Kluyveromyces lactis: one gene and its partner. Each later gene encodes a partner of the first gene's protein in a complex. Links are inferred from orthologs where the notes say so. Each region holds a gene or a part of one and is shown on either strand. Other genes may lie near its edges.

Region 1 (6,445 bases):
CAAAGTCTTGTTATGAAATGTATCACCAAATCCCATCAGGATTGTCACCAGAAATCGTTGTTTTCAATAGTAACTACCCTAACGCTGAACCTAACTGGTGGAGATCTGAGTCCGAAGACTATTTCGTAAAGCCCTTTGACAAACACAACATCCAACGCCCAGAAACTGTCGAATCTCTAATGTTTTTGTATCATTTATCAGGAAATGAACAATATAGACACTGGGGATGGGAAATCTTTAGCAATTTCATCAAGCATACTAAAGTCATTAAAGTCGCGGCGGATGGCGAAGAAAAGGTCGCATACACTTCGTTGCATAATGTTATTTCATTACCAACAGACAAAGCTGACAATCTTGAGAGTTTCTGGCTAGCAGAGACTTTGAAATATCTTTACCTTTTGTTCGACGATGATGTTGAGCTAAGCAAGATTGTATTTAATACTGAGGCCCATCCATTCCCTGTATTTAATCAATCAAGACTCAATGAGTTAAACTTAACCACAGGTTGGAAATTATAATCCAAATCATCCTCCTTATGCATTGTTTATAGTTAGAGAATACGTTCTTAAGAAGTCTTTATTTCTACATAATCGGAAGCGGTCTATTCTTGAATATTATCTTATATTTGAGTACGTCTCGCAGGCTAACAGTTCCATCAGCTTTGTCAAATTTCAAGAGTCCCAATGGTGGCTCAATTTTTACAATGGAACCCATAAGTCTTTGTTTGTTCCCAATAAAGAGCGTAACGTGTTTTGTTTCCAGATCGTAGGATAATATGCCAAATCGTACCAATCCATTTCCTTCATGCTCTATAAACCTTGAGTCCACATCCAATGCAGGATCAATTGACTTCTGTGGATGTTGCAAGTCTCCTTGAATTTCTATCATGACATGACCTAAGGATGTACTTACTGTCGGTGGTGTATCGCGATCTTCCGCGAATATATCTATCAATTGATTAACGGAAATATCCACACTTGGCATAACTAGAAGTTTGGGTGCAAAGGCAGTATCCAAGCGATATTTGTATGGATATATAAGGTTTTAAGAAACCCAAACTGACTTGTTTTGGCGTCATTCCATCGTCTGTTCCCGAATTCTTCAATTTCAATAATTTTTCGTCAATATGATTTAGAAATAACATGGATTTGATATTTAAAGGATCATTATAGCCTACAAACAACTATGTAAAAAAAAATGGACTACCTAAAATAAAGGGTTTCTCGAGATCGGACATCAAAGGGAAGTAGATATTGATACCTTAACATGTTGAGCGCCGTACGAAAGATTGTAAGTGGCGATAATGATGTTAAGAAGTTAGTTCAAAGGTATAACAAAGACTTATCTTCCATAACGAATAAGATACATGACTACGAAACGAAATTGAAGGGAATCGAAGATAGAGCCAAAAGTTTACGTGCAACAGTAACTTATTATTATTTGACGTTATTGGTTTGCATAATTGCATATGTTTATTTGAAGTATTCATCTTCGCGTGCTATCTTATGCAGCATTGTAGCACTAGCTTTACTAATATGCATAAGGCTTGCCATAACAAGATTCTATCTCATGCTCAATAAAAAATATGAGTCGAGGCTCTCAGCATTAATATCCTTACATCAAGAGAAGATGGAGGAATTGAAACAGAAAACGAATTTCTATCACACTAACTCACTAATTCAACGGTACTCCAGCGGTGAAAGTGGATCTGATGATTTAATGTTACTAATGGACGATGAAGTGAAAGCGAAGCATGAACAACTAGAGAAGCTTAAGATGGAATTGGAACAATTGCGCACAAATGAGAAACAGAAGACTCAAGATGTTGAAGCACGTGAGAAATGGTTCGATAAAGCCCTAGGTATACTAGCAGGTGGTGATGACATAAAAACATTACAACCATCAATATCGTTAATAGTTTGTTCACAATGTAAAATGTCCTTTGGCTGCTACTCAGTAGCTGGTGTACCGTTCCAATACGTGTGTTCCAATTGCGGATCCAAACTAGCTACAAAGCCCTCGAACACAGCCGCACCAGCTAGTAGCAAAAGCGAGGCCTCTGACACACTTCATGAAGTTCCAGAACTAGAAGAGAAATGAAATAGGATCTGATACGAGTTTGCAGTAGATAAGTATACAAGTAAAAATGAATTATCTAGTTATCTACTATTCCTGTGCTTTTTAACCAGACAAGGCCATGATAGCGTTGACGATGTCAGAGTCGTGCTCCTTCAAAGCCTTAGCAGCCTTAGCTCTTGGGACGCCGGCTTGTTGCATGACCAATTCAATGTCGTCAGCGTTCAAACCAGTTTCATCGACTTCAGCATCATCTACAGCGTCGTCAGCAGAAGGCTTGTCAGTGGCGGAGTCAGCAGCAGCTTGCATGTCCGCTTGGATGGACTGTGGGTCCTTAGAAACAGCATCTTGACCAGCTGGCAAAACACCTTCATTTTGTTGAAGAGATTCTTGAGCCTTGGCTAATCTTTGAGTGAAATCATCAACCTTGGCTTCACCGAAAACAACAAAGTTACCACCTTGAGACTTGTAAACTTCTGGTCTGTCGATAGCAAAGATTTGACCATCCTTCTTCTTGAAAGTGACTCTAGAAACACCTTGGATTGGCTTCAATCCCAACTTTAGGATCAATTCTCTGGCCTTCTTTTCATTTTTGGAAAAAATGGAAACGTTGGAGTCTTGGGCAATTTCAGACATTATGTTAGTTATGATGGTTCAATTGAGTTAATTGGGTTGATCTGAGGAGATGAAAGCTCTTTAATTACCTCAACACATAAAGAACTTTTGGAAGAGAGAGAGAATAAAACTTTGTTCAACGAAATTTCAAGATTTTCTTCATCGACAAATTGACTTTTTTCTTTAGAACGGGAATACATGCGAATAGTTGTCACGTGGACAACAAAAAGGACAATAAAAATAAATCGAAATGCTGCTTCTGTGGATCGAACACAGGACCTTATGAACTTCAGTCATACGCTCTCCCAACTGAGCTAAAGCAGCAACTTTCGTTGAAAGTCATGGTTGACAACTTAGCTCAACGGTAAGTCGCTTGTCACTCGTATTTTACTGAATGGTTATTGTGCTGTTTTCTCATTTGTGTCCCAGGACCTCCTCAAACAGATAAAAGCTTGAATGACCTTCAAGTTGATCTCAAACTGAGGAGACCTACAGTATAAATATCTCAAATGTGCCACAACATGCTCGTTCTCTATTTTCTTTTTTTTTTTATTTAACAGGTTTTCCCGTACATTAACCCGCAATTAGAAATAAACGTTGAAGACAGGTATGAATTATTCGATATTACACATACTGACAGTTTGAGATGCATATCAGGGTAAAACAATAACCTGCCGCTGTTCCATTTATTAACACAATCATCAGCCCATCCGAATTTGAATGGCAGATCAATGTTTCGACATTCATTATCTTGGGTAACGGCTGCAAGATCAGGTTCAAGGCCCATCCTTTCATCTACCATTTACAGACCTGTAGTTCTAAGACGATGTTATTCGAATTACTTTCATATTAAGTCATGGAAGCCGAACGTGAATCCTAAAAGAGATGTCTTCGCTTTCACAGGAGGGCTACGACACTATTCAGAGAGCAATGAAAAGGGCAAAGAATCGGAAATCCAGCAACCTGCTAGGAAACATACGAAGCAGCAACAACCAACATTTAGATTCATCACCGAACGCGATAGATTACTTGCACAGGCAACAAATATACTCCAGCGCTTAAAAATTAACCTCAAATGGACTTTGACCAGATCGATGAGGCCGTTCAATACAGATGATATTAGTGCATTTGTTAGTTGGGTTCTTGTTAGTAATATGCTTCTCATATTTCTATTCACCACCTCATTTCTATCATTGGCCATCTACTTGATGAATACGGTATTTGCACAAGAGTATTTGGCTACTAAAGTCGGTAATTTTCTAACAAAGAACAGTGCTTTATCGGTAGTGTTTGAAAGTGCAATTGTTCCTGACTGGTCTTCAGGAAAAATTTCATTCAATAGAGTGTTCGTATCTAGAAGACCTAAGCTTCCCCATGGGTTCAGCAAAGGTTCTCAACATGAAGCTGTTGAGAGGGCAAAATTAGCATTAAGTGAGCGATTATTGGTGAGTAGAGAGGATTTTGATGATGGTAACTACACACAATTCGATTTGACAATGGATCAAGTCGAGATTTCGGTTTCCTTAAGTAAATGGATAAACGGGAAAGGATTTCTAGATGAAGTCACTATTAATGGGCTACGTGGTGTTGTTGACAGAACTCACGTTTTTTGGAAAGAAAATGATGACGCTAGGAACTATTTAAACGTTCATCAACCTGGTGATTTCGAAATCTCAAAGTTTGTCATGAACGATGTTTTGTTCACATTATACCAGCCAGGCGGGTTTAGGCCATTTCTGGTCAGTGTATTCAACTGTGAGCTCCCTCAATTGAGGAAACATTGGCTTTTCTTTGATTTCTTAAACGCTGATAATATCAGTGGCGCTTATGACAATTCAATGTTCACCATTCACAAAAAATTCAAACAACGTGATACTGATGAGGAGTCCTCCAGTTCATCACCTTGGCACAAAGTCACAAGGATGAGAGTTGATAATCTTAATATTGATCATTTGAATGCTGGCATTGAGGGTCCTTTCGGATGGATTACTAGCGGTCACGTTGATATGATCGGTGATTTGTTGCTACCAGAAAATGATATTGACCCATCGCAACTTTCTGAAATATTGACAGTGGTTAGGGACCGTATTGTGAAAGAAACTCGCCGTCACTCTGGGTTCATTCCAGGGAATTTCGAAGAGCAAAAGGATATTGATGTGAAGCAATATTTCATAATGGATTTTTTGCTACGTTTACATAATGTCAAGGCAGAAGTTCCGCTATTCACTCCTGGCTTGTCGTACATCAATAATGCTTTGATTAGACCTATCGTCGGATATATCAACTCAAGGAGGACATATATTCCGATCAGATGTCGCGTAGTCAAGAATCTAAATGATTTTGCAGGATCGTGGACCATATATGACAGCAGATTAATGGACGATTTAAGTGCAGAAGTTTATGATGCATTTGCAAACTACGTAGCAGATGATGAAAGAATCAACTTGAGGATGAAACGTGTTGGGTTCTGGTCCCTACAACTGATAATTCAGGTGATATTAATGAGTTTGGGAGCCATTGCATAGATATTAAACTTTTAGTATGTAGATTGTCCGTATATGCACGGACACCTATCCTGGTGTCCAGACTTCTCTGTGCTTTAATGAATGTTTTAATGAGTTTTAGGACTAAAAGACGTCTCATCGAGGGCTACTGGAAATCATTTAGCCATACTGTATTGATTGGTTATCAACTTTTACCATGTATGTATAACCAAAATTCAAGTACAAGTAAATCTGGAAAAGTTATTGATAAATTGGCAAGTCTTCACATATCTATGGAAGGAAAAGATAGTTTAGGGAAAAGATAAAGCACGCATACTAAGGAATTGAACATCCCGACACCATTTACCAGAAGATGGTACCTGAATCAATGGCTCATAGGGGCTGGTTGGAGCAAGCCAGAATCAATTTTGGTGAGCTTTTCCAATCTATTGGCAATTTAGTAAAAACCCCTAACAAACCAATTATGGATAAAGTAGCCGACATGGATCCACATTTAATTGAGGATATATGCTCCATTTCATGTCCCAACGCTCTCACTAGGCCTGTTAAAGAGTTGGAATGGATTACTCTGTATGAGGTTATAGAGTATAAAGTCAAGAATAAGGATCCTATAATTTTGATGATTATACTCATTACTGTCCCGTTCCTGATATATAAGATAATGAAGAGTGCCGCGTACTTGTTATCTGCTAAAAATACCAAAGACTTTGATACTACGAATATCGAACTGAACACAGAAGTAACGGGCGATGAAGTGAGTACCAAGCCATCGCATCATTTCCCTGCAGAGCAACGAGCTTTACTACAATTCCAACGAAACAAATCAGAACCAATAGTATTCAGATATGGGTTCAATTTCGAAGACAATAGCAGTGATATGGAGTTACCTGATCAAAGTACCGAAGAAGTGATACGAGGTAGTTTGAACGGAACACGCACTCCAAGCCCAATGCCATCACCTCCGTTGCCTTCAAATACTTTCAAAGATGATGATCTTCGAAACATGCATTCAAATATCCTTAAATTAACAGAAACGCCACAGAAGTTCAAGGACACATCAATTGTAGAGTCCACTGCAAGCAAATTGCCAGGTGGTATGCTAATACCGTTGAGTATTTCACCATCAAAACCTACAATAAACACCACACAAGTTTCCAGCGAACAGGCCAACGCAGAGCCGTTCAAATTCTAATGTAAAACCAAATGATTCAGGACGATCCACATGAATACTTGTACAACATAAATAGTTA
Region 2 (6,614 bases), on another chromosome or scaffold:
CGCCACAGCATATCACCCAAGAAGAAGTGGTTAAAATCCAGCAAACGCAATTTCAGAAACCGGGTTTATCTGCTTCGCCAATGAGCGGGAACTTTTGTTCGTCAACTTCCGGACGTGGTGGTTCTATGTCCCCAGATCCATCGATGAGTAATAACACCGGTCAACAAACAATAATGGATCTGAAGAAAAGATACAGGTACAAGGTTGAAATGGATAAGTTGAGTGGTTTCATGTTAAAGAATTTCTGTGCCGGTGCGCTAATCAAATATAGCAGGTTGTTCGTCCCAGTTGAATTCGATTCAAAACAAGGGAAGAAACAAACATGCAAGGCCCCAGCAATTAACTTAGCCGATCTAATGAAATTTGTTAAAATTTTGCTAACCCGCGTGAAAGCCACGAGGCACCAGTTCAAGAAGATGTGTATCTTGTCGATCAAATTCTTCGAAGCGTGTGTCAAATCGCGTGAGAATTACATGAAATATTTGAAATACGACGTACGGAAAGTCGTAGTCGCGTGTCTAGCCTTGACTTATCCACAGGGACACACAATGGCCAATACGGAAAAATCTATGCTGTTAGTGTCAAGCGCTGCCGGAGTATCCAACGAGCAGCTTCGGCACTGTTGTGAAATCGTAGGTCCCATTCTTAAATCTGAGTTTTTAAAGAAACAACGGCAGCAGTACCAAACTGCTCATGCACAAGCACAGACTGGAGCTAACGAATCCAATCATGCTTCCCAAAACAATACCGCTTCTATGCGGGGATCTATAGCAACAAGAACCACTGTGAACATCAGATCGACGGATTTTGGTACGTTTACCAATTGCTATACGAACCAAGACGACCAAGAAACTTACCTCACACCGTCGGACTACGAGTCATTCAACGAAATGGGTAAACAAATGGTAAATAGAACCTTCCTGGTCAAATTATGAGCTGGATAATGGTTTTTGTATATGCATTTTATGTATGTTGTTGCGACACAATCATTTCTCTTGAAGAGTAACGATGGACAATGCGCTCACGTGACCGCGCACGTGATATTCACTACTCATGCACACAGTAACGAAGCAAAAACTGTGGCGTCGGGCTGAAAAACGTATCAAAGGCTGTTGTTGATGTTAATTTGTATACAGAGAGACTGATAAAGCAACTTTGAATAGACTTAGCGAGAAGACTACAAAGGATACTTCCTGGACAAGAGTTTGGTCGGATCACTGGGTTTGATTTAAAACAATGCTGGAGATTTTTATTGACATAGTTTAAGCGGATTTTCATTCCTGTGAATTTAGGAAACGAACAGTCTTAAACAAACGTTGAAAAAGGAACAACCGGATACATTTCATAGAGTGCTCGCTCATCAAGTTAACGAAAGTATAACAGCGAAGTTTTGAGGTACTCTTTTGAGTTAGATTTGCAAACCACCGATAGAGAGAGTAAGAGAGGCAGGAGAGGTACGAACATAGAATTTTTGGTTTTTTTCTAATTAATAACCCATGAACGAAGATAGTATCTTTTTCCAGAAGGCAGCAGAGGCAATCATGGTAACTAGTTTGAATTCAGAGAAGGTTGATCCTACAATAAGAGAGTTGTTGAATAGAGTCAAATATGTTAGCACGCCTGCACCGCCATCACAACACCAGACAAATAATCTGCCGTTTTCCGCGTTAGGATCTGCTAGCAGTCAGTACGCATCATTGAATAAGAATCACCGGAACGACATCCCATATAACAACCATCCTCAGGGCCATAATAATATAGATGGTGTGGGACCTGCAGGGGTAATAGCTCCTGAAAATAAGACGATACTGAATTATTTCGATAAGCTTTTATCGAATCCTGTAAATTTCGCCAATCAAAATAACGATGGCACATCGCATTCCACTGGACACACTCCAGTGAACCATAATGGAATGACACCAAGTTTGTCGCATTCTAACGATACTTACCATCAACGTAGGGCTTCCACGGAATTGGAGAACAGGTCGAAGAAAAGGAAACTGCCATCAAAGAAAATATTATCGGGGTCTTCAGATACTGCCATTGTACCATATGACAGAGACAGCACAGATGGTAGTAATAACGCTGATTTAGACGATAAAAGATTTCCCTGCGAGAAGTGTCACATGGTATTCCGCCGCAGCAGTGATCTAAGGAGACATGAGAGACAACATCTACCGATTTTGCCAAATATCTGTACGCTCTGTGGTAAAGGGTTTGCAAGGAAAGATGCACTAAAGAGACATTTCGATACACAAACTTGTAAGAGAAACAGACAGAAACTACTCAGTATAGGAGGCGACATAAACGAGATACTCGAGAGGGCGCGACAAAGTGGTGCTACGATATATAGCGGTTCCAAGTGATAAAAAAACTAATAATAATTGTAATCTTTTTTTCGTTAACTATCGAATGACAGTCGAAAGATCTCATTAGTTTGAAGACTATGTAGCAAACCTTTACTGGAAACAATTCTAATAATCATAACTACTTTGCAATTATATAGAAACAATATATGAAGAGTAAAGAGTGAAGAGTGAAATGCTCACTATTCGTGTGCTTTGTAATTTGTTCCTGTTGAAAATTTCCTATTCTTTAGAATTTGATTCGAAGCTCGGGAAACGTGGAATTAATATAAGTGAGGGTACCATTGCCTGGCCTTTTAGTTGGTAATTTATTCGACGTCAGCTTCGAAAGTTTGACCTTCAACCAATTCAGGGATATCAATATCCTTACCTTCAGCTTCTGGAGCAGCAGCTTGTTGGTTGGCACCTTGAGCGGATTGCAATTGAGAAGCCATTTGGGTCAAAGCGTTGATAGCATCAGCACCCATTTGAGGAATGATGTCTGGGAACAACTCTTGCAAGGACTTTTCTTGTGGAATACCGTAGAACACGGAGGTGTTATGTTGTGGAGCAACTTGGACACCAACCTTGTTGAAGTGCAAGACGGTACCGTCATCCTTGAAGAAGTTAGCTTGTTGAACGTTATCAACAGTAACAGCTCTCAATTTCTGCAATTGGTCTTGCAACTTGGAGTCATCTTTGCTGGAAGAACCACTCTTCTTGGCAAACTTTCTTCTGGTACCACCGACCTTGTTGTTGGCTGACAACTTCTGCAACTTGGCTAATTTTTCTTGATCAATTGGCATTTTATTCCTTGGTTACTATCAATTAATGTTCTATTGGATCTCGAATTTCAATTGACTATAAATCACAATTACAAAATAAGACAACTATAATAAATAAACGAATCAATTCACAGTTTAAACCTAAAAGTTTGCCATCGAAACAGGTTTAACTTGATGTTCAATTCAAAAACTCTCTTCCAAATGCCAAATTTCAGATTTGGATTTCATGCCGTTCGTTGACGAGAAAAAAATTTCGTGCTGTTACCCGGGGATAAGTTTTTTTGCTAAATGACAGTCAATGGTTATATACCTGCAGTGTATATGTCTATGGATGTAGGTTGTTCATGAAGCGTACTGGGTTTGAGTTCATGGCATCGAGTTTATGACACAGTATCTTGTATACGTGAAGGTCTTAATTGATTGTAATATAGGCGACATAATACATACGTAGTTACAATGTGTTTTATTTTTATACAAGAATGGTTTCATGTGGATATGTGAGTTCTGGTCTGGTGCTTATGGCCTCCAAGTCTTGACAAATATGAAAAACATCGGACTATGAATTGATGCAACCGCATATCTTGTATGAGAAAAGATCATTTCTTTTTAGAATGAAAGAAGGAGAACTTGGACTTCTTTAATTCATTTGATTTCTGATTTTGTTCGTTATTAGAATCTGATGGTAGTTTGTCCTGTGGTTCCACTGGGGAAAGGTTTGTTTTCGACGAAGATGGTGGATTGGTTGATGATATATCAGATTCTAATGGTGGAGGAGATGTTGAATGGGAATTAGAGTTTGAGAAGGAATTAGAGTTGGAAGTTGAGGTTAGATTTACATTTGAATTTGGGTTTGAATTAGAATTCGATCCAAACTGCTGTTCCTGCTGCTGTTGTTGGAAAGCATTTGGAGGTCTTTGAATCACAGAGGCAGTAGACTCACCCTCGTCGAGCATTGTACTGGTACTGATTTGTCTCATCCCGTTTGGAACCGGTTGGTACTGTTGTTGTGGTTGTGTTGGCAAATTTGATAGTTGGCCTTGTGAACCAGTTCTCATTGGATTAGGGTTACCGTTCAGTCTTGGCATGGAACCATTATGGTAATTCATGGAAAGTGGAGGGAGGTTACCAGACAGAGAATTGAACCTCTGTTGACCAGTTGGTGCTTGTGGCATGTTGAAATCGCTTAGCATCGTATTTGATGGATTTCTTAACATTGGCATATTACTGCGCCTATTCTTCCTGCTTGTTTTTTGGAATGTTTTAGGTCCAAACCCATTAGATCCCATTGGTGCTGCCCCATCTAACATATTTTGTGATATTCCAAACCCGTTCATTGGTCTTTGTCCACCTCCGTTGATTCCAACAACGGACCCAGAGTAGCCTCCTACGCCCGGCATTCCTGGGAGACCTACACTTGAATGCTGACGATGCTGTTGAGGAACTTGCTGCAGTGGTTGTTGTTGTACATGAGGAGCCATGTATTGACCTGGAATTCCTTGAGGTGGTTTCCCCATATATGATTGTCCATGTAATTTCCTATTTTGCATTTGATTTGAATATTGTGATGGATTCTCGTTCGGTGACATACCGTTTTTGCTCTGCGCATGAGCATATTTTTGATTCAACATCGTTTTAGACTGTTTCTTTTGCAACTGTAGTTCCCTTTCCTGTAATTCTAGTTCTCTTCTGCGTAATTTCAGTTCTCTTTCTCTTAATGCATGTTCATCCGCTGACAACGGAGCTGATGACGGTGGTGTTGCAGCAGATGCAGCCGCAGATGCTCCTGCCACAGCAGCATTCGTTGATGCTGGGTTTTCGCCATTGATGCCGAGGGAGTCCTGCACTGGAGATTCGGCATATGGAATGGCGTAAACAGCCATATCCTCGATGTCGCGCAGTACAGGAGTTCCTGTCTCAGTGTATTGTTGCTCAGGCACTTGACTTGTTGGTTCAACCGGAGTCCGTGGTTCCGATAGAGGCTGAGATTGAGATTGAGTTTGACTTTGGTTTTGACTTTGCAGTTGTCTTAATGTCGAAAGTTCAGATTGTATAGCGATCAATTCGCGTCTCAAAGATGAATTTTGAGATTGTTCTCGTTGTAATTGATCTCCCAACATCGAAATTTGGCTGTCTCTAGAGTTTATTTCGTTCTGATAAGCCTCCTTCGATTCGTTGAGCTTTAGGTTGAATTCCGTTTCTTTATCCTTAAGAGTCCCCTTGAGCAACGATAGTTGACCGAGTTCATCTCTTAACTTGGATACTTTATCAGATCTTGTAAACAATTTAGATTCATCATTGTTCAATTTCTTGAATTGACACATCATAGAGTATAAGAACTCCAAATAGGGTGTCTTTATCGTAAAATCATCCGCCAGTAAGATCGGTTGTAGCAATAACAAATCTATATCTAGTGGTGCAGATCTATGTTCGAAATGGTACAACAACGAGGGGTAGTTGTTTTCACCATTATCCGCGACCCATCTTTCCAAAAGATCGCTTTCTGTATCGTAACCGGAAGGCAATCTAGCACCCATGGTTCTAGTCAACGTGATTATCTCAGTAACGAGACCCGAGATCAAAGGCTTGGCCAAGATTTGTTGATGTAATCGCTTTGGAACAAACTCTTCGAAAAGAACCAATAGTGGATCGAAACATACCCTTGGGATAGCCAACTTCCATTGCTGTGTCAAGAAATCTAACGGTGAAAAATTGCAAGTATCTATGGCATCGTCGGGGAACAATTTCAAGAATAGTGAATGGAACGTAGTTAACAAACTAGAAATCTGTTTTGGGTATGAGTTTGAAGCCGATTGGGTCTTCAAAGACCCTGTCTCACCAATGAAAATCGTTTGCTTCTTGGACTTATTACCACCGTTGAATTGAACGTACCGGTTTGATGCCACAGCCCTGATGTCATAATCCGATATCAATGAGAAAACTTTCACTTGCGGAGAGGATACCGACATCCTGATGAACGGTTCCAACTGTACAAAACCCGAACTCTCTACAAAAATCTTGGTATTGTTCATGATAACCGAATTCAACTGCGTTGTGATGCTCGAGATCTCTTGCAACGACGAAGCAGACAAGATCACAAGATCGAATTTCTCCGAATCTGTCTCCAAGCTCAGTTTCAACTCATTAAACCCATTGAAATGTTTCTGCAACCGGAACGTATCGGTTCCATACGATTGCGTCTCGATGCTGAACTCATTACTTTTCGAATCACTCACATGGTATAAGTCAACAGATTTCGCAAATTGAAACCTCCAAGCGTACAACGCCAGGTTAGGATGGTTCCCATATATTAGAACCTTCAATTGTGACATAATTCCCTGTGTCGCTGGCTCCTTTTCAACAATCCAAACAGCAGAAGCGTTGTTTTGATTATTATGCTATGTTGTGACTTGTACTGGGAAAGGAATGAATATCCAGAATCCGAAAACTAAAAATGGAAAAAAGATGCTGATAAACTCTCTTTACT

Evidence for each region.
Region 2: EGD2 (region 1) and EGD1 share a complex: the UniProt entries of both Saccharomyces cerevisiae proteins name them as parts of the nascent polypeptide-associated complex. The link is inferred for Kluyveromyces lactis from reciprocal best matches to the Saccharomyces cerevisiae genes EGD2 and EGD1.

Annotation. Positions count from the first base shown.
Region 1 is NC_006038.1:382,618-389,062, reverse strand, and holds EGD2 (Egd2p), read right to left. Parts: upstream 2,713-6,445; coding exon 2,182-2,712; downstream 1-2,181. Other genes in the region: MNS1 (mannosyl-oligosaccharide 1,2-alpha-mannosidase), read left to right, coding at 1-518; CTF8 (Ctf8p), read right to left, coding at 583-984; LNP1 (Lnp1p), read left to right, coding at 1,267-2,100; MDM31 (Mdm31p), read left to right, coding at 3,423-5,216; NVJ1 (Nvj1p), read left to right, coding at 5,548-6,387. UniProt on the Saccharomyces cerevisiae protein: Component of the nascent polypeptide-associated complex (NAC), a dynamic component of the ribosomal exit tunnel, protecting the emerging polypeptides from interaction with other cytoplasmic proteins to ensure appropriate nascent protein targeting.
Region 2 is NC_006040.1:1,013,777-1,020,390, forward strand, and holds EGD1 (Egd1p), read right to left. Parts: upstream 3,152-6,614; coding exon 2,675-3,151; downstream 1-2,674. Other genes in the region: KLLA0_D11880g (uncharacterized protein), read left to right, coding at 1-935; MET31 (Met31p), read left to right, coding at 1,497-2,366; SVL3 (Svl3p), read right to left, coding at 3,727-6,459. UniProt on the Saccharomyces cerevisiae protein: Component of the nascent polypeptide-associated complex (NAC), a dynamic component of the ribosomal exit tunnel, protecting the emerging polypeptides from interaction with other cytoplasmic proteins to ensure appropriate nascent protein targeting.